4 linked regions of the Stegostoma tigrinum genome follow. The protein of the gene in region 1 purifies or fractionates together with the protein of each later gene. This does not show direct contact. Links are inferred from orthologs where the notes say so. Each region holds a gene or a part of one and is shown on either strand. Other genes may lie near its edges. The genes, in order: growth factor receptor-bound protein 2, tyrosine-protein phosphatase non-receptor type 12-like, dock4 and peak1.

The links.
Region 2: the proteins of growth factor receptor-bound protein 2 (region 1) and tyrosine-protein phosphatase non-receptor type 12-like purify together in Homo sapiens (affinity purification with mass spectrometry; 3 studies listed by BioGRID and IntAct, with this or other methods). This does not show direct contact. The link is inferred for Stegostoma tigrinum from reciprocal best matches to the Homo sapiens genes GRB2 and PTPN12.
Region 3: the proteins of growth factor receptor-bound protein 2 (region 1) and dock4 purify together in Homo sapiens (co-immunoprecipitation; 4 studies listed by BioGRID and IntAct, counting the BioPlex papers as one, with this or other methods). This does not show direct contact. The link is inferred for Stegostoma tigrinum from reciprocal best matches to the Homo sapiens genes GRB2 and DOCK4.
Region 4: the proteins of growth factor receptor-bound protein 2 (region 1) and peak1 purify together in Homo sapiens (co-immunoprecipitation; 3 studies listed by BioGRID and IntAct, counting the BioPlex papers as one, with this or other methods). This does not show direct contact. The link is inferred for Stegostoma tigrinum from reciprocal best matches to the Homo sapiens genes GRB2 and PEAK1.

What each region holds. Positions count from the first base shown.
Region 1 is NC_081375.1:55,040,252-55,047,420, reverse strand, and holds the start of growth factor receptor-bound protein 2, read right to left. Parts: upstream 3,009-7,169; 5' UTR 2,883-3,008; coding exon 2,805-2,882; intron 1-2,804. UniProt on the Homo sapiens protein: Non-enzymatic adapter protein that plays a pivotal role in precisely regulated signaling cascades from cell surface receptors to cellular responses, including signaling transduction and gene expression.
Region 2 is NC_081378.1:24,619,949-24,627,946, forward strand, and holds the start of tyrosine-protein phosphatase non-receptor type 12-like, read left to right. Parts: upstream 1-4,979; 5' UTR 4,980-5,165; coding exon 5,166-5,264; intron 5,265-7,998. UniProt on the Homo sapiens protein: Dephosphorylates a range of proteins, and thereby regulates cellular signaling cascades. Dephosphorylates cellular tyrosine kinases, such as ERBB2 and PTK2B/PYK2, and thereby regulates signaling via ERBB2 and PTK2B/PYK2.
Region 3 is NC_081371.1:31,391,340-31,398,518, reverse strand, and holds the start of dock4 (dedicator of cytokinesis protein 4), read left to right. Parts: upstream 1-4,164; 5' UTR 4,165-4,307; coding exon 4,308-4,344; intron 4,345-7,179. Other genes in the region: znf277 (zinc finger protein 277), read right to left, coding at 3,614-3,668. UniProt on the Homo sapiens protein: Functions as a guanine nucleotide exchange factor (GEF) that promotes the exchange of GDP to GTP, converting inactive GDP-bound small GTPases into their active GTP-bound form. Involved in regulation of adherens junction between cells.
Region 4 is NC_081389.1:20,109,614-20,117,624, forward strand, and holds the start of peak1 (inactive tyrosine-protein kinase PEAK1), read left to right. Parts: upstream 1-4,998; 5' UTR 4,999-5,180; intron 5,181-8,011. UniProt on the Homo sapiens protein: Probable catalytically inactive kinase. Scaffolding protein that regulates the cytoskeleton to control cell spreading and migration by modulating focal adhesion dynamics. Acts as a scaffold for mediating EGFR signaling.

The sequences.
Region 1 (7,169 bases):
CCCCCGATCCCCCTTCTCCTTCTCTCTCCCTCCCCCGATCCCCCTTCTCCTTCTCTCTCTCTCTCCCTCCCCCGATCCCCCTTCTCCTTCTCTCTCTCTCTCCCTCCCCCGATTCCCCTTCTCCTTCTCTCTCTCTCCCTCCCTCCCCCGATCCCCCCTCTCCTCCTCTCTCTCTCTCCCTCCCTCCCCCGATCCCCCCTCTCCTCCTCTCTCTCCCTCCCTCCCCCGATCCCCCCTCTCCTCCTCTCTCTCCCTCCCTCCCCCGATCCCCCCTCTCCTCCTCTCTCTCCCTCCCTCCCCCGATCCCCCCTCTCCTCCTCTCTCTCCCTCCCTCCCCCGATCCCCCCTCTCCTCCTCTCTCTCCCTCCCTCCCCCGATCCCCCCTCTCCTCCTCTCTCTCCCTCCCTCCCCCGATCCCCCTTCTCCTTCTCTCTCTCTCTCCCTCCCTCCCCCGATCCCCCCTCTCCTCCTCTCTCTCCCTCCCTCCCCCGATCCCCCCTCTCCTCCTCTCTCTCCCTCCCCCGATCCCCTTCTCCTTCTCTCTCCCTCCCCCGATCCCCCTTCTCCTTCTCTCTCCCTCCCCCGATCCCCCTTCTCCTTCTCTCTCTCTCTCCCTCCCCCGATTCCCCTTCTCCTTCTCTCTCTCTCCCTCCCTCCCCCGATCCCCCATCTCCTTCTCTCTCTCTCTCCCTCCCTCCCCCGATCCCCCCTCTCCTTCTCTCTCTCTCTCCCTCCCTCCCCCGATCCCCCCTCTCCTTCTCTCTCTCTCTCCCTCCCTCCCCCGATCCCCCCTCTCCTCCTCTCTCTGCCTCCCTCCCCCGATCCCCCCTCTCCTTCTCTCTCTCCCTCCCTCCCCCGATCCCCCCTCTCCTTCTCTCTCTCCCTCCCTCCCCCGATCCCCCCTCACCTTCTCTCTCTCTCTCCCTCCCTCCCCCGATCCCCCCTCTCCTTCTCTCTCTCCCTCCCTCCCCCGATCCCCCCTCTCCTTCTCTCTCTCTCTCCCTCCCTCCCCCGATCCCCCCTCTCCTTCTCTCTCTCCCTCCCTCCCCCGATCCCCCCTCTCCTTCTCTCTCTCTCTCCCTCCCTCCCCCGATCCCCCCTCTCCTCCTCTCTCTGCCTCCCTCCCCCGATCCCCCCTCTCCTTCTCTCTCTCCCTCCCCCGATCCCCCCTCTCCTCCTCTCTCTCCCTCCCTCCCCCGATCCCCCCTCTCCTCCTCTCTCTCCCTCCCTTGATCCCCCTCTCCTTCTCTCTCTCCCTCCCTCCCGCGATCCCCCCCTCTCCTTCTCTCTCTCCCTCCCCCGATCCCCCCTCTCCTTCTCTCTCTCAATCCCTCCCCCGATCCCCCTTCTCCCTCCCTCCCCCGATCCCCCTTCTCCTTCTCTCTCTCCCTCCCTCGATCCCCCCTCTCCTTCTCTCTCTCCCTCGATCCCCTCTCTCCTTCTCTCTCTCCCTCCCTCCCCCGATCCCCCCTCTCCTCCTCTCTCTCCCTCCCTCCCCCGATCCCCCCTCTCCTCCTCTCTCTCTCTCCCTCCCCCGATCCCCCCTCTCCTCCTCTCTCTCTCTCCCTCCCTCCCCCGATCCCCCCTCTCCTCCTCTCTCTCTCTCCCTCCCTCCCCCGATCCCCCCTCTCCTCCTCTCTCTCTCTCCCTCCCTCCCCCGATCCCCCCTCTCCTCCTCTCTCTCTCTCCCTCCCTCCCCCGATCCCCCCTCTCCTCCTCTCTCTCTCTCCCTCCCTCCCCCGATCCCCCCTCTCCTCCTCTCTCTCTCTCCCTCCCTCCCCCGATCCCCCCTCTCCTCCTCTCTCTCCCTCCCTCCCCCGATCCCCCCTCTCCTCCTCTCTCTCTCTCCCTCCCTCCCCCGATCCCCCCTCTCCTCCTCTCTCTCTCTCCCTCCCTCCCCCGATCCCCCCTCTCCTCCTCTCTCTCTCTCCCTCCCTCCCCCGATCCCCCCTCTCCTCCTCTCTCTCTCTCCCTCCCTCCCCCGATCCCCCCTCTCCTCCTCTCTCTCTCTCCCTCCCTCCCCCGATCCCCCCTCTCCTCCTCTCTCTCTCTCCCTCCCTCCCCCGATCCCCCCTCTCCTCCTCTCTCTCTCTCCCTCCCTCCCCCGATCCCCCCTCTCCTCCTCTCTCTCTCTCCCTCCCTCCCCCGATCCCCCCTCTCCTCCTCTCTCTCCCTCCCTCCCCCGATCCCCCCTCTCCTCCTCTCTCTCTCTCCCTCCCTCCCCCGATCCCCCCTCTCCTCCTCTCTCTCTCTCCCTCCCTCCCCCGATCCCCCCTCTCCTCCTCTCTCTCTCTCCCTCGATCCCCTCTCTCCTTCTCTCTCTCCCTCCCTCCCTCCCCCGATCCCCCCTCTCCTCCTCTCTCTCCCTCCCTCCCCCGATCCCCCCTCTCCTCCTCTCTCTCCCTCGATCCCCTCTCTCCTTCTCTCTCTCCCTCCCTCCCTCGATCCCCCTCTCCTTCTCTCTCTCCCTCCCTCCCTCCCTCGATCCCCCTCTCCTCCCTGCCCCGGTCACACTCTCTTTTCTACCTCCCCGTGTTGTCTTCTTTTACCCCGTCATGCATCTTTCTCTTTCAACCAGCTCTCTTCACCTTCGCCCCCCACTCCCCCCCCCCCCCAACGACTCGCTCTCTCACTCTCTCCCTCTCCTCTCTCCCTCTCCTCCCTCTCCCCCTCCCTCTCCTCCCTCTCCCCCTCCCTCTCCTCCCTCTCCCCCTCCCTCTCCTCTTCCATAGTCTCGCTCCGTGACGCTTCCTCCTCCGCTCCTGAATCCGGCTTTAGCCGCGATCTCATCGCGGCGGCCTCACCTTCAGTATATCTTCCCTCTTAAAGCTTAGCTCATCGTCTGCTGTGGCCTTGAAGTCGTACTTGGCGATAGCCTCCATGTCAGCGCGACGTTGGCCTTGCTCTGACTTTCAGTCTGGGGCTGGGCCTGTCCGTCGCCAGCGTGTGGCTGTCGCCTAGGCCCGGGACCACTGCGCGTGCGCACTGCGACAGGCCGCTCCCGCATACTGCGCCTGCGCACGCACTGGGCGTTCCGTGTCCGAGGCACGTACCGGAATAGCGTCAGCCAGGCTCAGCGTGATGCTCCTGGACCGGAAACGAGCGTTGACCTCGCCTTCGTCATCTTGTGCTTAGTGTCATTTGACCTTTGGTTTTCTGTCTTGAGTTGGAGCATAAACTTGAGTATCTCTGGGTGTTTTCAGTTCTCATTCTTCTCCTGACCTGCGCTTTCGAATGTCTAATTCCTGTGAAATGCACCTCGTGTTGGTAAACTTCAATGGTCCTCGCTCTTTGACCATTCCTTTGGAAGACATTGTGAGCTTGCTTATTGGCACCACATTGTTGGTGCTGGTGGAGGAGTACTGTTAAGTTACTGGTAGGCTCTGTATTGCTGTTATGATTCTCCATCTCCTGAAAAGGAAGAAAGGAAATTCGTGTCAGTAGTCTGAAAATTTCTCTGCTGTGCACCTCTGTCAAGATGGAGAGTGTATCAGTATTTCACAATCTGTTCTTCACCCTCTTCCACGCTTGTTCCTCATGATCCCATGCAGCATTGGTACACATCATTATTAATCATCGATGCCCTCATTGTTTTGTCAAGTAATTGAATTTTTAACTCTTCCACTCTGCCTTGTTCATCAACACCACTTTGCTGAGCATTCTCCTAAGTAAAAATCGGAGCGGCTCTTTTAAGATTCGTGGCCTCACTATCTACTGTGAGCTGAAGAAGAAAGCCCACATTTGGTACCCACTGGTACTGCTGACTGTGAGAGGTTGTTTCTTTTAAGCTCTCAACGGATCTTAATTTGAAAGAGGTACCTTAGATATTGAAGTAGTCCATATCAAAATGTAGCAAGATCTGGATAACACAAAATATTGGTTGATAAACATTCACACTATACAACTGCAAGGCAATAAGCAATTTAAAAGAGAGAATGTAACAATCATCCAATGAGAGTCATTGGCATCAACGTCACTAAATACCCCAATATCAACATCGTAGGGGTTCCATTGAGCAGAAGGTGAACTGGACTAGCTATATGTGGCTATAGGAACAGCTCAGAGGCTAGGAAACCTGTGGTGAATAACTTACACCCTAACTTCTTAAAGCCTATTGAGTATCTGGAAGGTAAGTCAGGAATGTAATAGAATACAGACACATGCTGTCCCTTTCTCTCTCTTTCCCTCACATACAAATCTATGGGGTGAATTTGCTTTGTAACTCTATTTTGTTCAAATAGCTCACACGTTTGTAGGTAGTCAATGTGGCCTTTTATAAATTCTTACTTTGGAAATAAAATCAGTCCAATTTGATACACAGCCAGATTCTAAATGAGGCCTCTCATGTAAAATGCATTGTCTACCCTTGGATGCCACCTCTGGTATACTGAGGGCAAAGATAAAATCTTTAGTTATTCTCAGAGCAGTGACTTGAAAGAAACTTGGGAATTTACATAGAAACATAGAAGATAGGAGCAGAAGGTGGCCATTCCACCCTTTGAGCCTGCTCCACCGTTCTTCAAGATCATGGCTGACTGTCCAACTCAATAGCCTAATCCTGCTCTTTCCCTGTAACATTTGATCCCATTTGCCCCAAGTGCTGTATCTAGTCACCACTTGAAAACATACAATGTTTTGCTATCAACTACTTCCTGTGATAATGAATTTGATAGGCTCACCACTCTTTGGGTGAAGAAATGTCTCCTCATGTGCGTCCTAAATCGCCTACACCAAATCCTCAACCTGTGATCACTGGTTTTAGACACACCCACCATCAGGAACATCCTCCCTGCATCTGCCCTGTCTCGTCCTGTTAGAATTTCATAAGTCTATGAGATCACCCCTCATTCGTCTGAACTCCAGCAAAAACAATCCGAACCTAGTCAATATCTCTGGAATCAGCCTGGTAAACCTTTGCTGCACTCTCTCGAGAGCAAGAGCATCCTTCCTCGGAAAAGCAGACCAAAACTGCACGTAATATTCCAAGGATAATGGGAACTGCAGATGCTGGAGAATTCAGGATAACAAAATGTGGAGCTGGATGAACACAGCAGGCCAAGCAACATCTCAGGAGCACAAAAGCTGACGTTTCGGGCCTAGACCCTTCATCATAATATTCCAGGTGTGGTCTCACCAAGGCTCTGTACAACTGCAACAACACATCCCTGTTCCTGTACTGGAAACTTCTCACAATGAAGGCTAACATACCATTTGCCTTCTTTACCGCCTGCTGCACCTGCATGCTTACCTTCAGCGACTGGTGCACAAGGACACCCAGAACCGCTGCACACTGCTCTCTCCCAATTTACAGCCATTCAGGTAGTAATCTGCCTTCTTGTTTTTGCTTCCAAAGTGAATAACCTCAGATTTATCCAAATTATACTGCTTTTACCATTTATGTGCCCATTCACCCAACCTGTTGAGATCATGCTGAAGTATATCTGCATCCTTGTCGCAGTTCACCCCCCTCACCCCCCCATTCCAACTTGGTATCATCTCCAAACTTGGAGATGTGATATTTTGTTCCATCATCCAAATCAGTATATATTGTGAATAGTTAGGGTCCCAGCACTGATCCCTATGGCACCCCCCTAGCTACTGCCTGCCAATTTGTAAATGACCATTAATTCCTACTCTTTGTCCGTTCTGTGCCAACCAGTTTCCTATCCATCTCAATACACTTCTCCCAATCCCCCACACTTTTCCCTTGCACATTAATCTCCTTTGTGGAACTTTGTCAAAAGCTTTCTGAAAGTCCAAGTATTAATCCTTGAATTGCAATATTGCAATTGCATATTAATCCTTTCTAACTGATTAAAGATTTAACATTTAATTGTTTAATACCACATCAGTTATATGACCCTTTGACTGTTTGCTTATAAATTCTGTGTCTGATGTCACCTCTCTCACTGACACTGAAGAAATGAGATTCCAAAAGTTTGTGTCTTCAAATAAACCTGTTGGACTATAACGCAGTGTTGTGATTTTTGATCTTGTCCACCCCAGTCCAATGCTGGCACCTCCACATCATGTACTTGGGAAGATTCTGCAGACTACTATCATCTTACTGTGTTTTCCTTAAGGAGTTGTTATTACTGGAATGACAAAATTGACCCTATTCATCATTCTGTTGGCTGGATTTTCTATATAGACCACCTAGCAGAGTGACCACCCAAAGGATGCACTGCAAAAACCATTAACGATCCCTAGACAGCTCTTTCCAAATCCACAATGTTAGCATCTTGAAGATGAAGTACTAATCTAATTACTAATTACTGATATAATGATGTAGGTGTAGGAAATGATGTTCTGATTAAACCTCAGCATTATAGGGCTTACTCTCTAAATTTGGCACAGGTTCAAAATGAGATTGAATGTACGCTCAAAGACAATTCCATTGAAGTGAGTTGCAAAGAATGGAGCACACCCAAAGTAATGGTATCAAAACCAGATGGTACCCAACAATTCAATGCAGTTACAAGTTCTGATTTATATCCTACTTCTACATTTGGAAGTCTGCATTGACGAGGTAGGACATGTAACCTATATTTATAATTTGGACTTACTCAGAGGATACTGATGTGAAAGAGCGAAGGAAATTTTAGCTTTCATGACGCTGAATAGACTTGTACCAGTGTAAAATCATGCCATTTGGTATGAAAAATGCTCCGGCCACATATCAAAGACCAACCAATGAAGTAATTTTGGGATTACCCAGTTTTGTGGTTTACATTGACGAAACGGTGATTTTAATCAGAAGAAGAAGGAAAATTTGAAGCATCAATCCAAATTGCTCAGTCAACTTTGGGAGATGGGCTTGGTGATAAATGTGGCTAAGAGTGATTTTTCTAAAGCCTAAGTCATGTTCCTGGGCCATGTTACTGGACTTGGACTGATGGCCCCAAGTAATATGAAAAACAAGGACTTTTGGGGAGTTTCCCATACCATCGATGAAAAGGAAAGTACAACATTCCTGGGATAGAGTGGTTTTTATCAGACATTTGTACTGAATTGTAGAAGTGTGGTCGCTCCACTGACTGTTTGGTTGAAGGAGTGCAGAAAATTTCAGTGAACGGAGGAATTTCACAGCTGGAAAGCTGCGTTGACCACTGCCCCAGTGTTAGACATACCCGATTGTGCAAAGCTATTCCAAGTGACTATCAGTGCAA
Region 2 (7,998 bases), on another chromosome or scaffold:
CAATTGTCCCAGAATCTACAATGATCCAATGAGTAGTGGTATGTGAGAAAGCAGCACCATTGATTAACTGTCAATTCTTAATGCTGTTCTAAGCATTCTAATTTCTCAAATTGCAGAGATAAAATGATAAATAGCATTTGGAAACTCGTAATTTTACTTCTTAATAATTTACTGAAAGTCTTTAATAAGAAACTTGAGCAGAAATCTGTCGCTTTGGAGGTATATTAAAACCTTAGAATTCCTTGTCTGTGGAAATCACTTCCAAGGGTAGGCAACATTCAAAATTAGATTTGATAGATGGATGATGAAAAAGGGAATGAAGGGGCATAGCAACAAGGAACACATGATCAGAACTTGTTTACATAGCAGGTAAATACCAATGTATACTGATTGGGCTTAATTTTCATGTTGTAATTAATATGTCTGAGCATACTAATATATTTCTAATAACTCCCATTTTCAACAGATTCATTAATGTCATCCACATTAAAAGTCAAATGTACACTTGCTCAGATTATGACTCCCAAACTGTAGCTGCAGTTCTTGCCCATTCACACCACAAATATAACATGTTTTTAAATCAAATGTCATGTCCTGGCATGAAACTATGTGAAAGAAACATACATACTATCTCCACCCTATGAAATAACTTGCTCCTATTAGAGGCTTCTGTCTGACGCTGAGCAATGGTAAATTCATGTCATTTTGCTTTGATGAACAAGTTAGTGCTTCACTTAAGTTAAATTCCATACATGTTAACAGTCAAATTGGAATGTGAGTGAGCAATTAAATGAATGCTCAAGGCTACAAAATGGAGTGTGTGCAAAATATAATGTGAATAACAACAAAAAAAAACACATTTTCATACAATTCTTACCAGAGTTCATTGGAAGGGCAGCCCAGCTTGGTCCCATAATGGTAAATTACTCTTATAATTTGTTGTTTCGAAGGCCAAATTGTTAAAATCACATGGTTAGAACATAGAATGTAGAACAATACAGTGCAGAACAGGCCCTTCAGCCCTTGATGTTGTGCCGACCTATTAACTAATCTAAGTCCCTGCCCCTACACTATCCCATCATCATCCATATGCTTATCCAAGGACTGTTTAAATGCCCCTAATGTGGCTGAGTTAACTACATTGGCAGGCAGGGCGTTCCATGCCCTTACCACTTGAGCCTTGAGCCACTGAAATCCAATCAATTAATAGTGGAGTACTTAGAAGGCAAATAGTAATTATTTCTGTAGGTGCTAAAAATACTGACATTTTGTTACACATTTATTGAAAAAATATTCAACACGAAAATAATTGCACATGAAAATTAAATGTTAGACAGCATTTTATTACAAAGTATATGTAGATTTTAGAAAGCATTTGCTCATCCTATAATATGTGAGAATTATTGTTTCCTCTAAGCTAAATGAATTAAGGGTTTTTTAGACCATAAGACCATAAGACATAGAAATGGAAGTAAGGCCATTTGGCCCATCAAGTCCACTCCGCCATTTAAATCATGGCTGATGGGCATTTCAACTCCACTTCCCTGCACTCTCCCCGTAGCCCTTGATTCCTTCTGAGATCAAGAATTTGTCGATCTCTGCCTTGAAGGCATCCAACGTCCCAGCCTCCACTGCACTCCGTGGCAATGAATTCCACAAGCCCACCACTCTCTGGCTGAAGAAATGTCGTCTCATTTCAGTTTTAAATTTACCCCCTCTAATTTTAAGGCTGTGCCCACGGGTCCCAGTTTCCCCGCCTAACGGAAACAACTTCCTAGCATCCACCCCTTCTAAACCATACATTATCTTGTAAGTTTCTAGCACTTGTTGTTCGAGTGCATCACTGATTGATACATCTCAAAATTATTAATTTCATTGCTTTCAGTTAAACCCAACCCTGCTCCAGCAACAAAAGCATTTTTTGTGTTGCATTGCTGGTTAAAGCTGACTTCAAAAAATTCATAGCACAGGATTGAGCAAAAATGTCATTAAGTGTCATGGGAAAATGGTTAAACTTTCTTGTTGCAGGCAGTCTTGTCAAAGTGCTGCGATTCAGTGAAGGATCTGCCTTTGAGCAGAGAACTCAAGAAGTAGTCAGTATATTTAGTTACATTCCACAATATCTCAGATGATGAAGTAATCCAATATTCAAGAATATCTAGATTTAGGCAAGCAAACATTTGGCACCCAAGTGCTGCGATTTTCTTTTTCCTCCAGGTATGGTGCCAAGGCAGTCCTCACGTCTGCCTCAACTGAAATATGGATCAAACCCATTCTGTTGGTATTAAGCTGATCTGCACACTTGCTGTCTATCTCAGCTTCACTTCCTCAAAAATACAGCGTTATCACAGGGAAGTGATTAATTAAGTAGCTTTATATTATTGGGCCTAGGTCATTGTCCTGGGAAAAAAGCAGCAATTACCTGAGGCTGAGATGATTTGTCTTCCAACATCAACCTTCTTTTGTGCCAGATATGATTCTCAACCACTGGAAATTTTTCCTATTTCCCACTGACTTCAATTTTGTTAGGGCTCTTGGGTATCACACGTGGTTGCATGTTGCCATGACTTTAAGGGGAGCCACTGTAATTCCATGTCTGGAGTACAGCTCTTGAGAAAGGCTGGACTGATGTATGAAACTGAGTGGATTTGACTGGGACCAAGCTGAGTCTCAGTGACATGCACAGAACCCATCATCATTCCTCAGATTCTTCACTTCAATGCCGCAGTTTTGTTTGCCGGAAGTAAGCTGAACACACTCCTCTTGCAGAGAAACATACTCTTAACTGAACCCAGAGAATTTAGGTAAACAGTGGCAATTTCAACAATTTTAGGAAGTCTGTAGGTGTACTACAGTTGAAAATAAACTGCCTTAAACAGTAGTCTACAAGAGAATCAAGTGACATTGGGATAGGGAGAAAAGTGGACTTAAGGCTGCAGTCAGATCAGCCATGACCTTACTGAATCGTGGAACAGATTGATGGGCCAAATGACTTATTTCTGCTTCTATTTTGTATGTTCCACATAACTCTTCCCCAATGCAAAGATACAGTTGAAGCAATTAGCAGAAATAAATTGCATTAATAACTTCAAGCGTGTGATCAACTCAATACAAGCTCAAGCAAAGAGGAAGTAGAGAAAACTGTGCTCTTTATTAGCAGGTTAAGTTCTCACTGTACGGACGTAAATTTTAAGCTTCCCCTTCCTACCCTTTTTTTTGAAAGACTTAAGGGATGTAGACATTATGACCATTTATTGCCCATTCTTAGTTCCGCTTGAAGGTGCCTTCTTGAAATACTGTATTTGCTGTGTACACCTACAATGTTGTTGGGAGTTCTAGTATTTTGATACAGTGACATTGACAGAGCAGCAGTACTTTTCCATACCAGATGGTGAGTGGCTTGGAAGCAGTGTGGTCTTTCTTTTGCTCCTCATCAGGTTAAAAGAAATATGGAGATCTACAGCACAGGAGAAGGCCTATTGACCCACAGAGTCAGTACCAGTCAAAAAACAGGCACCTGACAATTCTAAGATAATGGGAACTGCAGATGCTGGAGAATTCCAAGATAATAAAATGTGAGGCTGGATGAACACAGCAGGCCAAGCAGCATCTCAGGAACACAAAAGCTGACGTTTCAGGCCTAGTTTCTAGGCCCGAAACGTCAGCTTTTGTGCTCCTGAGATGCTGCTTGGCCTGCTGTGTTCATCCAGCCTCACATTTTATTAACCTGACAATTCTAATCCCATTATCCAGTACTCAGTTCATAGTCTTGTGTGTCTTGACATTGCAAGTAGACATCTAAATACTACTTAAATATTATGAGGATTTTCTGCACATACTACCCTTATAGATAGTGAATTCCAGATTTCACCAGCCTCTGGATGAAATTGTTTTTCTTTGCATCTCCACTAAATCTCCTGTCCCTTATCTCAAATCCATGTTCCCTGCTTACTGATCCTCCACCAAGGAGAAAGGTTCCTCTCTATCTTTCTTCGCTATCTATTCCCTCATAACGTTTTAACAAAGATCTGTGGCTCAGGTTGTGGCTGGAATTGTTGGCTGTTTCGCAAAGCTGACTGATTTGAGTGCTAATGTTCCACCCCCCTTTTAGATGACATCTTCAGAGCTGTCTAGCCTCTGTCTAAGCCCCTCATAATTTTATATATTCTAATCACATCTCTCCTCAGTTGCAAGGAAAACACCAATCTATCCAACTTCTCCTCACAACTAAACCTCTGCTGTCCAGGCAACAGACTGGCAAATCTCCTCTGCACCTGTCTGGTGCAATCACATCCCTCCTATTATGTGGATTCCAGAATTACACAATACTCTGGCTGTGGCCTGACAAACATTTTATACAATTCAACATGACCTCCCTCCTCCTAAATGATTGGTCTCAGCTAATAGGGCAAACTTCCCATTGCCTTCTTAACTACTTAATCTACTGTCCTCTACCTTAAGGAACCAGCAGACATGCACATCAAGTTTGCTCTGATCCTTAGTGCTTCCTAGATTTCTACCCTTTATATATTCCATTGCCTTGCTTCTCCCGCCCAAATGCATCACCTCACACTTTATTCGGACTGAATTCTATTTGCCGCCACTGACCTGTCTGACCAAATCATCTTCAACCTTCAGTACTCTAAAGCTATCCTCCTGTATTGGCAGTAACCACTTTAGCATCACTGCGCAGCTTTGAAGTGTTTGCTAAAATGTCTGTTTATGAACACAATTCATATGCTTTAACGAAACAACCCAGACTCAGCAATCAAACATCAAACGTCACCACCCAACCCCTGCTGAAAGAGAATTGCACAGTCCTCTGGAGTATCAAGTTGGATAGAATGAGCAGGTGTAACAATGAGTGGTAGGTGCAGGGCCGAATCAGCTGGCTAAGTCGCGGCATGACGCAATGGCAACGCTGGGCCAATGAGAGGCAGGAGGAGGGGCGGGGCGTGTGGGGGCGGGGAAGGGGAAGAGGGCGAAAGAGAAAAAGAGGAAAGTGGCGCCGGGCGGGTGAGGGGAAGCTGAGAATTAAGGATTCTCATACGGAAGAGGTGTGTAGGTGGAGGTTTTTTTTAACACATTAAAAAAAACGCAAGATGCGAAAGTGATAAGAGTTCGATCCTGTCCGTTGGTCTTGAATTTTCCAATGTGCCGAGAAGATGGAGCAAAGCGAAATTCTGAGGAAATTCATTAACCGGGTGCTGGAAATGAAAGTCCGCGACCAGAATGGGGAGGACAACTTTGCCAGCGACTTCATGGTGAGTTTAATTGTTTTTTTTCTCACTTACGAGTATTGTTTTTCCTTTGTAGTAAACGAACTTTCGCGAACTGGAATCGATTTTTCTCCTTTGGGTGAGTTTGGCCGTGTAAGGTTGGTGGCGGCGCCTTAGCAACAACCCTTACCCCTTGTCCCAGCTTCTCAACCAACACCCACTGGGGAGGAATGAGGACCATCACTGCCAGCTCCAGGCTGTGCGGCCTAAACCGCTCCCTCATGGCTTCTCGTTCACTTTCAGAAAACAAAAATCAGAAAGCTGCATTTGTCGGGTGCTGCGAACTCTGTTTTTTCAGAGATACCATTTAAGCTATAGTTTGGACAATTGTAAAGCTGTGTTTGTTAAAGGGTCTGTCTTGAGTGAAACTCCTGCCTTGTACAACAAAAAATGCAATGAATTTATCAGCTGTGACTCAGAAATGTGGGGAGTTTGCGGATGTTGCGCAAGGCACGGGGCGTTGTGTTCGCTCCAACGAAGTGTGTAATGACTGGATTTTCGTTGTTGACTGGACTGTTTTTATTTTTTTGCTTCAGTACAATATTCGGAACACTTCGGGTCCTGATTATTAGACATGCTAGTATCCGCTGGAGTAACTCGGGTACCGAAAAAGAGAATCAGCGTCTACTAGTACCCAGGAACTGTATGTGGGGGGAGGAATACGATTTAGCTGCATTCACTGAATGAAAGAGTTTGTGGACATTAGTGATTGCATGAAGGCAAGATTAAACAGGATTATGATAATCTTTTTTGGTGGAATGAGCCCTCTGGTATTCAATGCTTAGATTGAATCGTTAGCACATAAGTGAAAATGTTGGAGGGAGGTTCATGCCTGTGAATCTTGTCTGTAATGATTCACAACATTTTGGGGAAAATCAACATTGGAAGTTGAATTTTGATTAAAAGTTGCCATCAATGAACAATAGAAGATGGCTGTTCAGTCCATTGACATCTGCATCTATTATTCACCTCCACTGTTACATATTTTAATATAATACATTAAGCACAGTAAATGCCTTTTGGTACTTCACAGGAGAAATTTTATAGAAAGTGACATTAGGAGAGACAGCCAAAAGCTTGGGCAGCAATTTAAGTTTGAAGGCTTGCAGATGCTGCAGTTAAAATCAGGGATGTGCATGAGGTCAGAATGGAAGAACATAAACATTTTGGAATGTGGTAGGGCTGGAGTAACCGTGGAATGAGCTGCCAGAGGTGGTGGAGGAAGCTGGTACAATTGAATAGTTAAAACACATCCGTGTGGGTATATGAATAGGAAGGGGTTGGACGGATGTGGGCTAAATGCTGGCAAATGGGACCAGATTTATTTAGGATACTTGGTCAGGATGATGAGTAGGACATCTTTATGACTCCTTACTTTTGGAACAATAAGGAATGAGGTTGTAGAAGGCTTTGAAAATGAGAATGAATGTTTTAAACTTTGAGGCGTTTTGGACCAGGACTAATAAAGGTGAGCATGCAAGGAGGTGACATTTGAATGGAATCTGTGCGAGTTAAGTTGCAGACAGCAAAGTTTTAAATGAACTCCAATTTAAAATGGAAGATGGGAGGCAAGCCAGATGAGCATTGGAATAGTCAAGACTAAAGCCAGCAAAGGCATAGTTGCTGGGAGAACAAGTGAGCTGCAGAGTTTGGAATCAGACATCACTAAAGGTAACAAGGTGTAGAGCTGGGTGAACGCAGCAGGCCAAGCAGGAAAGCTGACGTTTTGGGTTGGGACTTCTCTTTAGAAGAAACTTCAGCTTTCCTGCTCCTCTACTGCTTGGCCTGTTGTGTTCATTCAGCTCGCTACCTTGTTATCTCAGATTCTCCAGCTTTGACAATTCCCACAATCTCTGAATCACAAGGGTAGAGTTTCATATAAAAGTGGAAAGAACTGTGGATGCAGTAAATCAGAAACAAACACAGAAATTGTTGAAAAAGCTCACCAGGTATGGAAGCATTTATGAAGACAAAGCAGAGTTAACATTTTGGGTCTGGTGACCTGAGGAAGGGTCACTGGTCCCTAAAATGTTAACTCTGATTTCTCTTCAGATGCTGCCAGATCTTCTGAGATTTTCAAGTAATTTCTGTTTGTTGTAGAAGTTTGTATAGTTGGGATGTTGTGAATATATGGTTGAAAGTTCATGTGGTCAAACGTGACAAGGTTGAGAACTACCTTTGTTTCAAGGTTGTAAGGAGTTGATGATAAAATGTGAGGCTGGATGAACACAGCAGGCCAAGCAGCATCTCAGGAGCACAAAAGCTGACTTTTCGGGCCTGGACCCTTCTTCAGAGAGGGGGATGGGGAGAGGGAACTGGAATAAATAGGGAGAGAGGGGGAGGCGGACTGAAGATGGAGAGTAAAGAAGATAGGTGGAGAGAGTATAGGTGGGGAGGTAGGGAGGGGATAGGTCAGTCCAGGGAAGACTGACAGGTCAAGGAGGTGGGATGAGGTTAGTAGGTAGATGGGGGTGCGGCTTGGGGTGGGAGGAAGGGATGGGTGAGAGGAAGAACAGGTGAGGGAGGCAGAGACAGGTTGGACTGGTTTTGGGATGCAGTGGATGGAGTGGAAGAGCTGGGCTGGTTGTGTGGTGCAGTGGGGGGAGGGGACGAACTGGGCTGGTTTAGGGATGCAGTAGGGGAAGGGGAGATTTTGAAACTGGTGAAGCCCACATTGATACCATACGGCTGCAGGGTTCCCAGGCGGAATATGAGTTGC
Region 3 (7,179 bases), on another chromosome or scaffold:
TTAATTTTCCATACTCGAAGAATGAATAAATTTCTCATGAAGAGACATTTTGGTATTTGGATTATTAGTTTTAAGTTATATCAGATAAGAGAGTCAATGTAAATTGTGTGTGCAAATGTTATTTTCTATCACCTCTTTCTTCTTTTTCTGACACAATCGACTTAAACAACAATCAAGATAAACCAACAAAACTACCAAATGGAAAATAGGTCTAATCATTCACTAAAATACTAGCAATCGGATAAGGACAAGAGGAGGTTTTTGTCTTTGAAAAACGTATAGCAGAAAAAGGCAGGTAATTGGAATTTGAGGAAGTAGCTCTAGTTAAGAGCTATCATTAGAAGATGACAGAATAAATTACTAAAAATGCTGATTTTTATAACTAAAAGGTTCTGGATAACTTTGTATGCTCCTTCCTCTTCTGAAGAGGTGACCTTATAGAGGTTTATAAAATCACGAGGGTACTAGAAAATGTGAATAGCAAATGTCTTTTCTCTAGGGTAGGGGAGTTCAAAACGAGAAGGCATAGTTAAGGTGAGAGGAGAAAGATTTAAAAGGGACCTGAGGGGCAGCATTTTCACACAGTGTGGTTTGAATGTGGATCGAGCTGCCAGAGGAAGTGGTCGATGTAAATACAGTTTTAACATTTAAAAGATACTTAGACAGGTACATGAATAGGAAAGATTTAGAGAGATATGGGTTTAGAGCAGGTGGAACTTGAACTTGGGCCTGCTGGCTAAGAGTTAGGGACATAATCCCCATTCCATGGAAGACAAACCCTGACTTCATGTTACAATTAGATTTCCAGTGCATGTCATGTGATTACAATCAAAGCAGTAGGCCTGTCTATCACCTAACATTCATAAACCAAGAGACTCAAGACAACCAGTGCAACGTACAGCTGGATGATCAAATTTAGCACAGATCAGGGAACAGGATTGCATTACATCCGTCTTGATCTGTATGACACACATCCCCACTGAATGGTCAGACATGCTAACAGTCACAAAATAAACGTACTTGTACAGAACAGAACTTAAACATCAATAGAAAACAAAAATAAGGACTTTCTCAAATCCATTGACACGAACCGTGCTACATGAATATAGAATTAGTATTAGGATTTTATTGACACATGTACTCAAGTATAGGAATGCATGAGTACAGGCAAAAGTGGTGATCATTTTGATATCCAGTCATTTATTCTCTTTGTCAGTGCTAATTCCAATTTTTTGGGAATAAATTACTCTCGAATGTTACAGAAGGGTCATTCAGTCAAACCTATGCTAGTTATCTCAAATAAGTGCTGCATGTTTAAATTCAAAGTCGCATATTGAAAAAATCACTAATCAGAAAATCCATTCTTCGCACAAGCATAAAAAAAAACTTTAGATTTTTCACCCTGAGGGCGATGATTCTGATCAATTTCAACCTAGTTGACTTCTAATTTAGAGATAATGGGAACTGCAGATGCTGGAGATTCCAAGATAATAAAATGTGAGGCTGGATGAACACAGCAGGCCAAGCAGCATCTCAGGAGCACAAAAGCTGACGTTTTGGGCCTAGACCCTTCATCAGAGAGGGGGATGGGGGGAGGGAACTGGAATAAATAGGGAGAGAGGGGGAGGCGGACCGAAGATGGAGAGTAAAGAAGATAGGTGGAGAGGGTGTAGGTGGGGAGGTAGGGAGGGGATAGGTCAGTCCAGGGAAGACGGACAGGTCAAGGAGGTGGGATGAGGTTAGTAGGTAGCTGGGGGTGCGGCTTGGGGTGGGAGGAAGGGATGGGTGAGAGGAAGAACCGGTTAGGGAGGCAGAGACAGGTTGGACTGGTTTTGGGATGCAGTGGGGGGGGGGGAATAGCTGGGCTGGTTGTGTGGTGCAGTGGGGGGAGGGGATGCACTGGGCTGGTTTGGGGATGCAGTAGGGGAAGGGGAGATTTTGAAACTGGTGAAGTCCACATTGATACCATATGGCTGCAGGGTTCCCAGGCGGAATATGAGTTGCTGTTCCTGCAACCTTCGGGTGGCATCATTGTGGCAGTGCAGGAGGCCCATGATGGACATGTCATCAAGAGAATGGGAGGGGGAGTGGAAATGGTTTGCGACTGGGAGGTGCAGTTGTTTGTTGCGAACTGAGCGGAGGTGTTCTGCAAAGCGGTCCCCAAGCCTCCGCTTGGTTTCCCCAATGTAGAGGAAGCCGCACCGGGTACAGTGGATGCAGTATACCACATTGGCAGATGTGCAGGTGAACCTCTGCTTAATGTGGAATGTCATCTTTGGGCCTGGGATGGGGGTGAGGGAGGAGGTGTGGGGACAAGTGTAGCATTTCCTGCGGTTGCAGGGGAAGGTGCCGGGTGTGGTGGGGTTGGAGGGCAGTGTGGAGCGAACAAGGGAGTCACGGAGAGAGTGGTCTCTCCGGAAAGCAGACAGGGGAGGGGATGGAAAAATGTCTTGGGTGGTGGGGTCGGATTGTAAATGGCGGAAGTGTCGGAGGATTTCTAATTTAATTTGTGGAACAATCTGGAATTCAAGAATATCCCTCTTCCTTCCTCTCTTTGCAATGAGCTCTACACAAACCTATCCTTTGTAGCCAACATTTACTTCTTTTCAGAGACTCTCATCATGGCTGCGAGACTGACCGTGCATGCCAAGTGCACTGAGAGATTCAAAAGTGCTCTAATTGCACAATGGTCATTCTCCTCCCTCTGAACCAGGAGACCTGCCTACTCCAGAGATATTTAATAACATCTCTGAACAGGTGGTGATTAGAAAAAAACATATCAGGAGTTCCAATTCCCAATTACACTATTTCACATTTCATTCTTTCAATTCTGACTGTGCTATCATCATTGATGGGATCGATCACTAATACACAAACTGACTGTGAACAAATTGGGAAAAGTTCTACATGACAATGGACAATGGACAAATTGAGTGCAGTTTAAAATTACTCTGACACAAAATCAAATGACAAGCTGTGACAACACCAGATGGGCAATAGGTACCAAATAATGAAACATATACAAAACGTATATTTTGAAATGCAGTCAATATTCAAAATCAGACAAACTGACAGATACTATTTTATGTCAGGCACACAGGAAATGCTTCAGAGATAGTAGGAAATGCAGATGCTGGAGAATCTGAGATAACAAGGTGTTGAGCTGAATGAACACAGCAGGCCAAACAGCATCAGAGGAGCAGGAAAGCTAGTGTTTTGGACCTAGACCCTTCTTCAGAAAATGCTGTAACTTTTAGAATTAGTAGTTCTAGAAAAGTGTGGATGTTCATTTCTTGAATATAATCAACTGAGGCGTTAATAAATATTCAGATTCAAAGAAAATTGTGTGATATGGGAATAGTGCAACAAAATGAGTCACATCAATCAAATTGCAATCAATTTCAAAACAGGCCCTAAAAACCAAAAAAGTCTACTCCTGCCTCTATTCCTAATACTCTCTATGACACGGAAATATTCACTGAATACCAAATGATCCTGACAAGCCCTGAACTGGAGGACATGCATCTGTAGCCATCCTCAGTTGGGCTATGACGCTCCACACATTCACCTATATTTACAGTGCAGTCCTCTGTACTTTGGGAAAATCGGTCACCTTGGTCTGCCACAGGCGAGTCCACCACGTTTGCGTGGAGTGAACCTCGTTTCATTTTAAACGTGTAACTTCTGCTGGTTTAGGAAGACTCACAGTTTCCGGCGTGACCTTTTCCCCCAGTACCGAATGTCGCCATAATGGCGTTGATTAATACACAGTAAACGCACCCAGAACGAGGAACCACTGAAAATATTTATGACTGAAGCGCCCACCTTCGCCAGCTGCTATCCCCATCACCGCCATCGAATCCGCACCACCCAAAGATCTTCATGGACAGAGGCGGGGGCGGGGCCTCCGACCAGAAACCATAACAACTGCATCGCAACCAATCGCCGCACGAAGGGTAGTGACGTTTGGGGTAGCCTCGGCAGGTGCTCTGGGAGTGTTCGTAGTCTCGGGCTTCGCCTCCAGTCAGGGCCCGGTGACAGTTGAGGACTCCAACTCCCATAAGACACTGCGCAGCAGTGGTGGTTGGGGTGAACATGTCCTCGAAACTACATTTCCCATAACACCACGCGGCAGTGATCTGCAGCCCAGACTACAACCCCCAGCAACCTTCGCGGTCACCCGGGCTCCTACCCGTCCAGAGGCTGAACAATGGTCCCGCGGAAAAACTGCTCAATAACTAGGGCGCGCTAGGAGACAAGTTTTATTGTTGGGTAAAACATACACTTATCGTATATCAGTGTCGACAATGTGGATACCGACAGACAATGAAAAATACGGTGTGGGTGAGTGCTTTCTGTGCATTTTTGTCTTGCCCCTTTCTTTTTATTCAATGAGTTGGTCTGGTGCCAGTGTCGCTGCAGAGAGCAAAGGGAGATGTTTAAGAAAAATCTGTGGAGAACTGATCCGGCCACCATAATAATGTTACCGCTTTCATAACGGTGCGAGCTGTTATCCCCGCTGGCAGATAGCAGCAGGTCTCGCTGCAAAATAGCCTTTCTTTTCACTTTCCCTTTGCTTGTTCGCTTCGGAAATGCCCTTATTGATAAAGAGAGAGAGAGAACGTAGGATGTCCTTCTTGCTTTGTGGTCTCGTTACCTTTCCCGTTTAGCATTCCCCACACCTTTCTGAAACATTCACACCATGATTTGTCTTTCTCTGCCTTTGTGTTGCTTTGCTTCATTGCTTTTGCCTGTACGACATTTGCACCTGATAATCGCTATTTATGTGTTTCCTTGATTAAAAACCAGTAAGCCTGTTTCTTAATAGGGTAGACAAAGGTTGGGAGTGTGCCTAGCTACATAGCTATAGAATAACGCCCTGAAGTGACATAATTCATCCGTTTATCAATTTGTTCTTTGTGATTTGGTTTTATGATCAGAGTTGTGTAAAGTTTAGCAAGCGATAAATGATACTGCGCTGATCGATAAACGAATGGGATAAGCTGACCTGAAACATTCCTTCCATTTAATTATTAAATATAGAACAAACGCGCTTCCAAAAGGACGGGGAACTATTTGATTTTTAATTTGGTGTAACAACAAAGCAGTGTAATCTGGATGTTACCTCCGCCGCTCAGCGGGACAACGGTTCAATGTAAGACTGATACGAAAACCGCTTCATTTTTACACAGCGGGTGACGGGCTTCAAGAAAACAAAAACATGAGATATGAGACGGCATTTAACCCCTTCTGACAATTTCAATAACCCTCCTTGTATTACTGCTGTTGCAAGCATTATTGAAGTCAGCCCCCCAGGCAAGTGTTGTTGGGGAAGGTGAAATGTTTGTGTCAGCACATTTATTCTTGATTCTTTGTGAATGGAGCTCCACAATGAGTCAGAGAGTTGCTTCATACCCAGATTGCACAGATGTCCTTCACTTTGCCTAAATATGTGTTTTTTTTAAAAAAAAAATCCGCTGACTAAATGTTGACCTCGTCCGCCTTTAGAAGAAATGATCTTGCCGGGACACATCTGGATTTCTCCCTCCGATCAATGGATATTGAAATTTCCGCTTCCCACTGCAATTTAGCCAAAGCTGTGCTGTGCTGTGCTGCAAGTCTCTGGGATTTAAACAGCACGGACTGCAGCTTTTCATCTGCTCACGCTCCGAGTAGATCCGCTGGATTTGGAGCGTGGCTTAGCTTTTAATGTCAACTCTGCGGGATCGTTAAATCTCTGCAGCAGTGAGCGAAGCCAGGATCTCAATCCATGTTTTAGTCAGTCGAGAGGACGTGGACTCGCAAGTTCCTTGTCCTACTGCGGTTAGTTGGTCACATGAAATATTGTTTTAGAAACATCATACTCTTGAACTATTTGCAGAATTTTTAGCACAGAGTCAATATATTTGGCTGGCAATAGGTACCAGTCTATCTCGCCTGGTAACAAGTTGACTTTATGAGAGAGTCTGTGTGCATTGTGTAACTAATTGCGATTTGCAATAGAGGGTAGCTTTTCAGTTTTCAAGTGGTGTCCAGGAGCCAGAAAATTGATCATGTTTTGTCATCTCCAGACCGAGGTAGCTGCAACAATTCGAATTCTGTTTTAATCAACTGGTTTGGACATGGTATGATACACCTCCGGGACATGCGAGGGGCACTAGTGAACAATGCTTTTCTTCCCCTCGTGCTATTTCTCCCTCAACCCGCTACAATCGGTGGACAGTAATGACTGCAATCTATAATGTTAGTGAAGCAAAGCTGATCATTTGGAAAAGGTGCTGGTGACAAGACGAGCAGACAACTTCAATGAGTGCAGTTTGACACGAAAGTTGTCAACTCTCATTGCCAATGCTTTAACTCTGTAGAAACAAGTTTGCAACGTTAAGCTTTTGGGGGAAAATGAGGAGGACTTTAACCTTTTTTTGCAATCAACATGTTCAGAAATGTTATGACCTACCTCTAGACCAGGTAGGACTTGACACACGGCCCTCCCAGACCAGTGCGCCGCGAGAGATAAATTTAACCTGTAGGGGATTTCTTCGTTATTCGGACATCACCTTCAGGATTGAGGGTCTAGGCTCGAAACGCCAGCTTTTGTGCTGCTAAGATGCTGCTTGGCCTGCTGTGTTCATCCAGCCCCACACTTTGTTATCTTCAGGATTGATGCTGCTTTGGAGTTGTATTGGACGGTGCAATTTTGTTGCAAGGATAATCTGATGATGGCCCGGGATGTTGCCCTTTTGGAGGGGAGGGGGGGGGATCTCTTTCCAATTCGTAGAAAGGTGATAAGACAGATTCTCTCGCAGCACAAATAAATCAATACGCTCTACCGGATACTTCTCATACTCAAACAGCAATTCTAAGGCCTTTATTGTGCTCTCAGTACATTTTTTTCGAGATGCTCAGAAGCAAACAAAAAACTGCAATATGCTGGGAATCCGAAACTAGCTGCAAGATGCAGAAAACACCAGGCTACTCAGCAGCTGTGGGGCGCACAGATACAAATCCCTTTAAGGCTTTAGACCCTTCATTGAAACTGCTGTATGAAAAGGTCGATTCTTATCTAGTTTCCTGGCGGTTGATATCTGACAACGCTGTTTCTCCAGCGTTTTCTGTTTTCTGTTTTACTTTTAAAAAAAACTGGCCAGACACAGCTCTTTTTTCCATATGCCCAACCGC
Region 4 (8,011 bases), on another chromosome or scaffold:
GAAGGGTGCTTGCGAACAATCGTTTTCCCACAATGTTACTGCTTTTGTCTTTCTCTATGAAGTTGTTTAAGAAAAATGGAGCAGGAGAAACCCAAACAGCATGAAGTGTTTGTTTAACCCAAGCTGAGGTGAAAGTTGGCCTGATGGTAGCTGAATTCTTACTCCCTGCTACTTTGCCTCCATGAAGCCCCCACCCAGTTTGATTACAAAACCCGTTCAAGCAAGGGTGGCATAATAACTCAAGGTTACTTCAGAGAGTGTGACTTAAGCTTTTTTCAGACATATACAGCAGAAGGGTTTGAAGTCTGTATTAAACTGAGGCAGTTATGAGAGCTTCAGTGGCCACTGCAATGCAGGGATAGAAATTAGTTCAAGCTCCAGCTTCTGGTGGCTGCCTAACGAAATGTATTAAAAATTGCATCTTATAGACGCTAAAGCATGAATATATCCAAAAGCTATGAGTATGCCACATAAGCTGTTGTAGTTTAATTTTGAAGCTGATTTGGATAATTTTTGGCAATGCATTTGGAAGCCACATCATGAAGAAAGATTCAGAATTCAAGTTACCCTAAGATGCTTTTGTCCAACTATTTCCCTGCCCATCGGTGTTGACCAACTATGAGATTTGTTTCTTGGATTGAAATGGATCAGATGGCATCTCTTCATAATCATTCAAATTGATTAGTTGTCCACAGAGTTTACTGAAATGACCAGTTTTACTCCTGAGTGCTACTTGTTTTATCTGCTGAAGTCAGATAGCTCAGTCTTGGGCTTCAAATCCAGGACTTTCTTGGTCCGCTGTGGACAGTAGGAACATTTTTCACATAGCAACTAAAATTTATAATTTCTGAAATGGCAATATCAAAATGTAATCTGAAATGTACAGTCTTTCTTTCCAAAAAAATACTTTAAGGTAATGCCTATCAGAAAACTTTGTGCTTGATAGAACTCTTTTTAATTCTGATTTCCTGTAATTACAATATCTAAATCTGTCAAGGGCATCCTTTTTTATAGGATGGCTGAAATATTTTGTCAGTGTCTAGGTATATGTTTCCCCTTCCTGGCCACAGAAATTTCAAACTGAATGTGCACAAATTGGTCACTGTGTTTCCCACCTTTTAACAGTGACCGCACTTCAAAAGTAATTGATCATCTGTACAATATTTTGGGACACCCTAATATTGTCAAAAAGGGTATAATAAATTATTTATTTCCTTTCTTGAATAAAAATGTAATAAAAAATGTAAAATCAGTGGTTACAATAAACTGTTCAAATATATGCCAACTGTACCTAAAACATAAACAGTGATTTTTCTCATTTAGTTTTCAAAGTTGATAATTTTCTTTGTCTGGTTAGTATATCACATATTCCTGGGCCTTTTGCATAATTTGGACTCATTGATTACCCTTGTACAGATGCATTGATGTTTCAGTGTTGCAAACACTTGGGTATCACTGTGATATGCCTTTGTCTTGGAATTTGCTCATCTTCACATGTTATTAACTAGAAAATGCTTTTCTTTTCATTTTTATCCTGAAAACGTGTTGGGACACCAGTCCTAGGCTTGTTTTTGGTCCTCATCATAATCTGTACAATGAATCTGAGCAGGTAACTCAATGTTTAAAGAAAAAAACTTGCAATTTTATGCTAATTTCCTCTGTAAATATTTTAATGAATTTCTCTAATCAGGTTTCTGATGAACTAAATTTACCTAAAAAAGTCGCTGACATTCTGTTTGCTACTATGACCATAGTATAATCTATGTCTTTGACATGATTGATGGCATCATTTTTTTTTAACTTGTCTTTTAGGTTTCTAGGGTCAACCAGTTTGCAGGACAGATACATACTTGAGCAGACTCCCATATATTAATCAATGGTCATTTCTATGGGGTATGAGAAAAGAAATTGAAAGTTCAGGAAAAAAATCTTATTTCCAATGAGTTTCCATCATTTTTGCTTCTAAAGTATGTCACCAATTCCAGTGGGGAAAGGCTGAATACAATGAAAAACATAGCTATTTTTACAAACTTGGCATCTGGTATCAGATATTAATCATGCTGGACTTATACTGAAACTGGCCCTGTGCACTGATTCTCAGAACTAAGGACTGTAATGCATTCAGTAATTTCAACTATATTGTCACTTCTGCACTAATACACAGTATCAAGTGATGAAAATTATTAAGAAAATATTAAAATAAGTTTTAATAATAAAATAAGTTTTTTTTTCTTCCTGAAGAATTGAAATTGAACAGTCATTTCTGCCATCTGTAAATTCTCAATCAGTCAGGAGAAACATCTTGATCTAATAGTAGCAAGAATGTAAAACATGCCATCAGAAGGAATAGTTGAGGTAATTATTATGAATTAATTTAAAGGGAACCTAAATAGAAACATGAGTGAGAAAGAAATATGATAACAAGGTCAGCTGAAGCATGATAGGATGTTTCTGTAGAGTGTAAGCACTAGCATGGACATGCTGGACTGAATGGACAGTTTCTATGCAGTGGATCTTATGTAATTTCTCACAGGTGAGTATCATTATACTGTATTACATTTAACACTTGTTTAATCAGAATATGCCATACTTCTCTCCAAGCAGTCCCCTACTCACATTCTACCCTCCAAATTCTTCACCACCATATTTTCTCATTCCCAATCATTCCAGCCCATTCTTCACAGTCTTCCCTCAATGATTCTTCCCTCCAAATGTTCTCTCACGCACATTCTATCCTTCAAGTATTCTCACACCCAGAAGACACCGAATAAGCAGAGTATTTCAAATTGATGCCCTTCAATATAATGACAAAATCTTTTTACTCCATTATTCTATTTGCTTGAAAACTGATCAAGGCTTGAAAACTGATCATGTAAATGTGTATTTTATCAGAGCAAAACATAAGTTTTTCCATCAAGGCCATTTCTGAAGAAGGGTCCCAACCTGAAACCTCAACTTTCCTGCTCCTCTGATGCTGACTGGCCTGCTGTGTTCCTCCAGCTCCACACTGTGTTATCTCTGACTCCAGCACTGGCAGTTCTTACTGTCTCTGAATTTTTCCATCAACATCTTTTCCAATCACATTCTTCATTCTTCCCTTACATTTTCTTTCAACTCAATCTTCTTTGACACCACATTCAAGTTAAATGTGGCCTTGATGTCAGATGCAGTCACTGTCACCTCACATCTGGAATTCAGCTCCTTTGGCCATATTTGAATTAAGGTTGTAATGAGGTCAGTTGCTGACTGACCCTGGCAGAATCTGAACTGAGTGTTAGTGTGCAGGTTATAGCTAAGCAAGTGCTGTGTTGGTAACCAGCAGAGGGTCTCCTTGCCCATACTTGGCCTGATAGCAAGAGACATCATGAGTTCCACAGTCAATATGGAAGACTTCAAGGGCAGCTCTCCACAGTATACCACAATGCTGCCAGTTCTGCTGGGTTTGTCTTGCTGGTGAGTTAGAATATATCCAAGGGTGGTGACAGTGTCATCTAGGACAATGTGCCTAAATTATGATTCCATGCATTGGTTATTTCAGGCTGTTGCTTGAGCTGTCTTTGACACTAGGCCTCAGAGTCAGGGCAACTTTGCAGGTCAACAGATCAGTTTTTGCTGTTGTTGTTTTAGTGTCTTAGTTAATGCCTGCTGGTCCTTCTGGTTTCATTTTTTTTTCCTTTGTAGGAGCTAATACAACTCAGTGTCTTGCTGAAACAAAAACAGAAATTGCTGGACAAACTCAGCAGGTCCGGCATCATCTGTGGAATGAAAACAGATTTAACATATTGGGTCCAGTGACCCTTCTTCGGCGTCTCGCTGAGTCATTTGAGGGCAGTTAAGAGTAAACCACATTGCCATGGGTGTGGTGTCATATGCGAGCCAGACCAGGTGAGGTTTCCTTCCTTAAACAGCATTAATGGTTATCATTAGACTTTTACTTGCAGATTTTGATTAGATTCAAATTCTACACATTTGCTTGGTGGAATTGAAAACCAGGTTTAATTACTTGGGTGTCTCAAATAGTACAACAGAAAATTCTGGGAAAGCTCAATAGGTCTGACAGCATCTGTGGAGAGAAATCAGAATTAATGTTTTTGGTCCAGTGTCCCGTTCTGAGGAAGGGTCACTGGACGTGAAACATTCTATTTTTGCTTCTGATTTCCAGCATAAGCAGTTCTTTCGAACACTAGTCCAGTGACAATATCACGAGGTCGTCAACTCCCCTCAGTAACAATTTATTCCAACTCCAAATCCACCCTCTCCATCCTACCTCAGGGGAGTTAGTGAGTTGAACCTTGGGTTTGTGATTCAGTGAGACCAATGGCGCGGGTTCAATTCTCCATGGAACCATAGTTAGCACAGAGGAGTCGCTTTCTTAACCTTGTCCTCGCCAGAAACATGGTGACACTTAGATTAAACCACCACCAGCCATCTCTCACTAATGAGAGAGCAGCCCCATGGTCTTTGACCTTAACCTTTCTCTCAACATCTCTCAAGAATAACGGTTTGGAACTTTCGGCTCGAGACGCCTGATTTGAGTTTTGCCACATCGCGCGTGGTGGTTTTGCAAGGTGAGGAGGCAGGAGTCTGCGCAGAAGGGTCGGTGGGAGAGGAATGGGGGGGGCTGACACTGATGGGGCGGGACTGGCAGTGAGCAGGCGGGGTTTCGTGACGAAAGGGGCGGGACTGGCCGTAATGGGGCGGTGCAGTGCGGCGACTGGGATGGAACAGGCCTTTGTCGGGGTTGGGCTATGGGGAGGGGAAATGCGCCGAAATGGGCGGGGCGGTCTGTAAAGGGGCGGGGCTGACGATAATGGGGCGGGTCAATCTGTCGAATAGGTTGGGACACTGTGCAGGGGCGGGGAAGCGTGTTGAAAGGGGCGGGGTAGTGTAGGTTCTGAGAGGAGGTTGGCTAGGGGGAAGGAAGGTCGAATGTGTTCTTTGCGTGCTCGCTCCTTTGCGACGCCATGTCCGTGATAGCGTCCGCGCCCCCGAATGCACGCTGCCGGGAGCGCGCGTCAGTGTTTTCAGTCCGAGTGCTGAGCGGCTGGTAGGCAGCTCTTAAAAAACAGAGGAAAAAGGTAGAGAAGTGCTGTGTAGGGATTAAAACAGATCAAAACCCCCAGAAAAAAGTCAACCCTTACCCTCTCCCCTCCTCAATCAGCTGTCAACCCTGTCTTCAGGTAAGGCTGGAATCTGTTCTTTCCTTAAAACAGTTGGTGATAATGACAATCTTTCAGTTTTAAGAAATTCCTTTGGAAGTTGTTCAGCCAAGTCTGTGTGAGAGGGGGAATCCTGTCGGCGGGAGAAGCTGCTTCAGACAGTCTGCTCCCTCAGTCCTTAACCCAGCAGCCGGCAATGTGGCACACTTCCTTAGAGGCAATCTTTCCTTGTGTGTTTGTGTTTGTGTTTGTGTTTGTGTGTGAATGTGGATGTGTAGGAAGATATCGTTAGAAATAATATTTTCTTTCCCAGACATTTTGAGGGAAGACTGCTGGCGCCTTTCATTTCGGTCAAGTTATCTCTGGGACTCAGGCAAACTTTCCTTTACTCTGAAAAGGCCATCTATTGTTTGTACTGTACCTACTGTCAAATTACACCCTCTCCTTGATATAACCAGAAGATATTCTTGGATCTACTGTTCTTTTTCATGTGTATAATCAGTTAAGAAGCGGTCTTCTTTGCTTTCAGGTACTGAATAGGGATTGTTATCCAACTATCTAAGTAGTAACCCTTTGAAGTTTTTAAAATACGCCTATATGAAATATATATTTATTTTGTCTTGAGACTTCAAGGTATGGATTGTTTTATTTTCGCCAATATTGTTGTCGGGACAGTTCAGTTCTTTGACTATGTCCTTGCTCTCAGGCTGGTACAGCTTCAGTTTGGGAGGATAAAGCTTATATTAGCGAATGTCGTATTTTTCTCTTGGAGGGACGGCAATGTAACTTATTTACGTCCTTAAGTTGTATTCCAATTTTTTTTTGAAACGTGCAAGGATCACTTGGGTTTTATTACAGCTTAGGTGCGCGAATTCTTTTGGGAAAAATTCGGATATTCTCCATTTCTATCTCAAGTTTAATTTTTTTGCATTCTTTGTTTTTGTGGTGCATGCTTTGAGCTCGATGTAATACATCGACTGGGGTGACGGAAGTGCGGCAAAATATTTACTGCACAACAAAAAGATATTTTAAAATATGATAATTGAATTAGAGTTTACAGTGGTTGCCCTTTGCAACGGAATCTGAGACAAAATTTATGCTTAAACCGGTTTTAACATCTGAAAAAAATAGATCCGGACTGTGTCGGCATAACTGAAAACAGGAATGAGATCGCTAGTTTCTACAACAACAATAATACTTCAAACCAAATCGGTTTTTAAAGGCATATCATACTTGACACATACTTACATCAGTGATAATTAGTTACCATCGACCCGTTATGTGTAGGCATGAACCACAGAGGTGGTGAGCTGTGGAATTAGATATTTATTGAGCGGTTGGATTGAGTAATTAAGGTCAGTTCCACAATCGGGATATGAAATCAATCTATTTCTATTTGTTATGCATTTTAAAATTAGCAAGAAAAATGACTTTTGTTTTGTTTTAGTATGTGGGCTGCATTTGGATCCCATTGCATTTTGTACCACCTCGGCACTGCTGCTTCAAATGCATTCTAAAGTTTGTGGAAATGAACACTGGACTTGGCTGAAATGTATTAAATGCAAATTAATTTGTGTTTGGAGAGTCAAAATCATTCCACTGTTCCTTGCATTCTACCTAATAGTGATTGGTAGATATTAGGCTGCTTGTGTGTTTCTCTGAGAAAATGTATATCTACATGATCAGTTTTCAAGCTAGAGGAACTGTTAAGCAAATAATTGGGGTGAAAAGAATATGTCCTTCTTTCAAAGGATGTTAGTCTGAATTACTCTGCTTATTTAAAATGTTTAAGTAATAGTCTTATTTAGTGTGAAATTAAATGTTTATTCATTTAATTATTTAAAATATAAATAAATGTCATTGCATGAGAAATTCTTTCTCGTTCATTGTGGCTCTCATGGGCAACATGTTGACTCAGCAGTTAGCACTGCTGTCACATAGCACCAGGGAACCAGGTTTGATTCCAGCCTTGGACAATTGTTTATGTGCAATTTGCGCACTCTCTCCAAGTCTGTGTAGGTTTCTGCTGGGTGCTCAATTTTCCTTCCACAGTCCAAAAGTGTGCAGTTTAAGTGGATTGGTCATGCCAAATTTTTCTTTCTTTATTCCATCATGGGATGAGGGTGTAGCTGGCCGGGCAGCATTTATTGCCCATACCTAATTGCTCAGAGGGCAGTTCAGAGTTGACCACATTGTTGTGGGTCTGGAGTCACATGTAGGCCAGACCAGGTAAGGATGGCAGTTTCCTTCCCTAAAGGACATTAGTGAACCAGATGAGTTTTCCTGACAATTGGCAATGGATTTATGGTCATCATTAGACTCTCTTAATTCCAGATATTTATAGAATTCAAATTCCACCATCTGCCATGGCAGGATTCAAGCCTGGGTCGTTGGAACATTATCTGGGTCTCTGGATTAACAGTCCAGCCATAATACCACTAGGCCATCACCTCCCCTCACCCCATAGTGTCCAGGGATATGCAGGTTAGATGGGTTAGCCATCGGTAAATGTGGGTATACAGGGATAGGGTTGGATGGTGGGTCTGGATGGGATGCTTATTGGAGGGTTGGTGCAGAATTGATGGGCCATATGTCCTCTACTGGCACTGTAGCGATTCTGTGATTCATTTCTTTGGCACTGAAGTTTACCGAGGCTCTTTACTCTTAAGAAGGTAGCCCCGTGAACGATCTGAACCTAATTGTATATACCCACCTTTGCCCTTGAGACTTTTTTCTTAACCAAAGTTGTTATCAGTGTCAGTTTAAATTAAAATTTAAAATTAAAATTTGATGGTAGTAATGTGGCACAGTGATAATGTCACTGCACTAGTAACTGAAAACCCCAGAGTAAA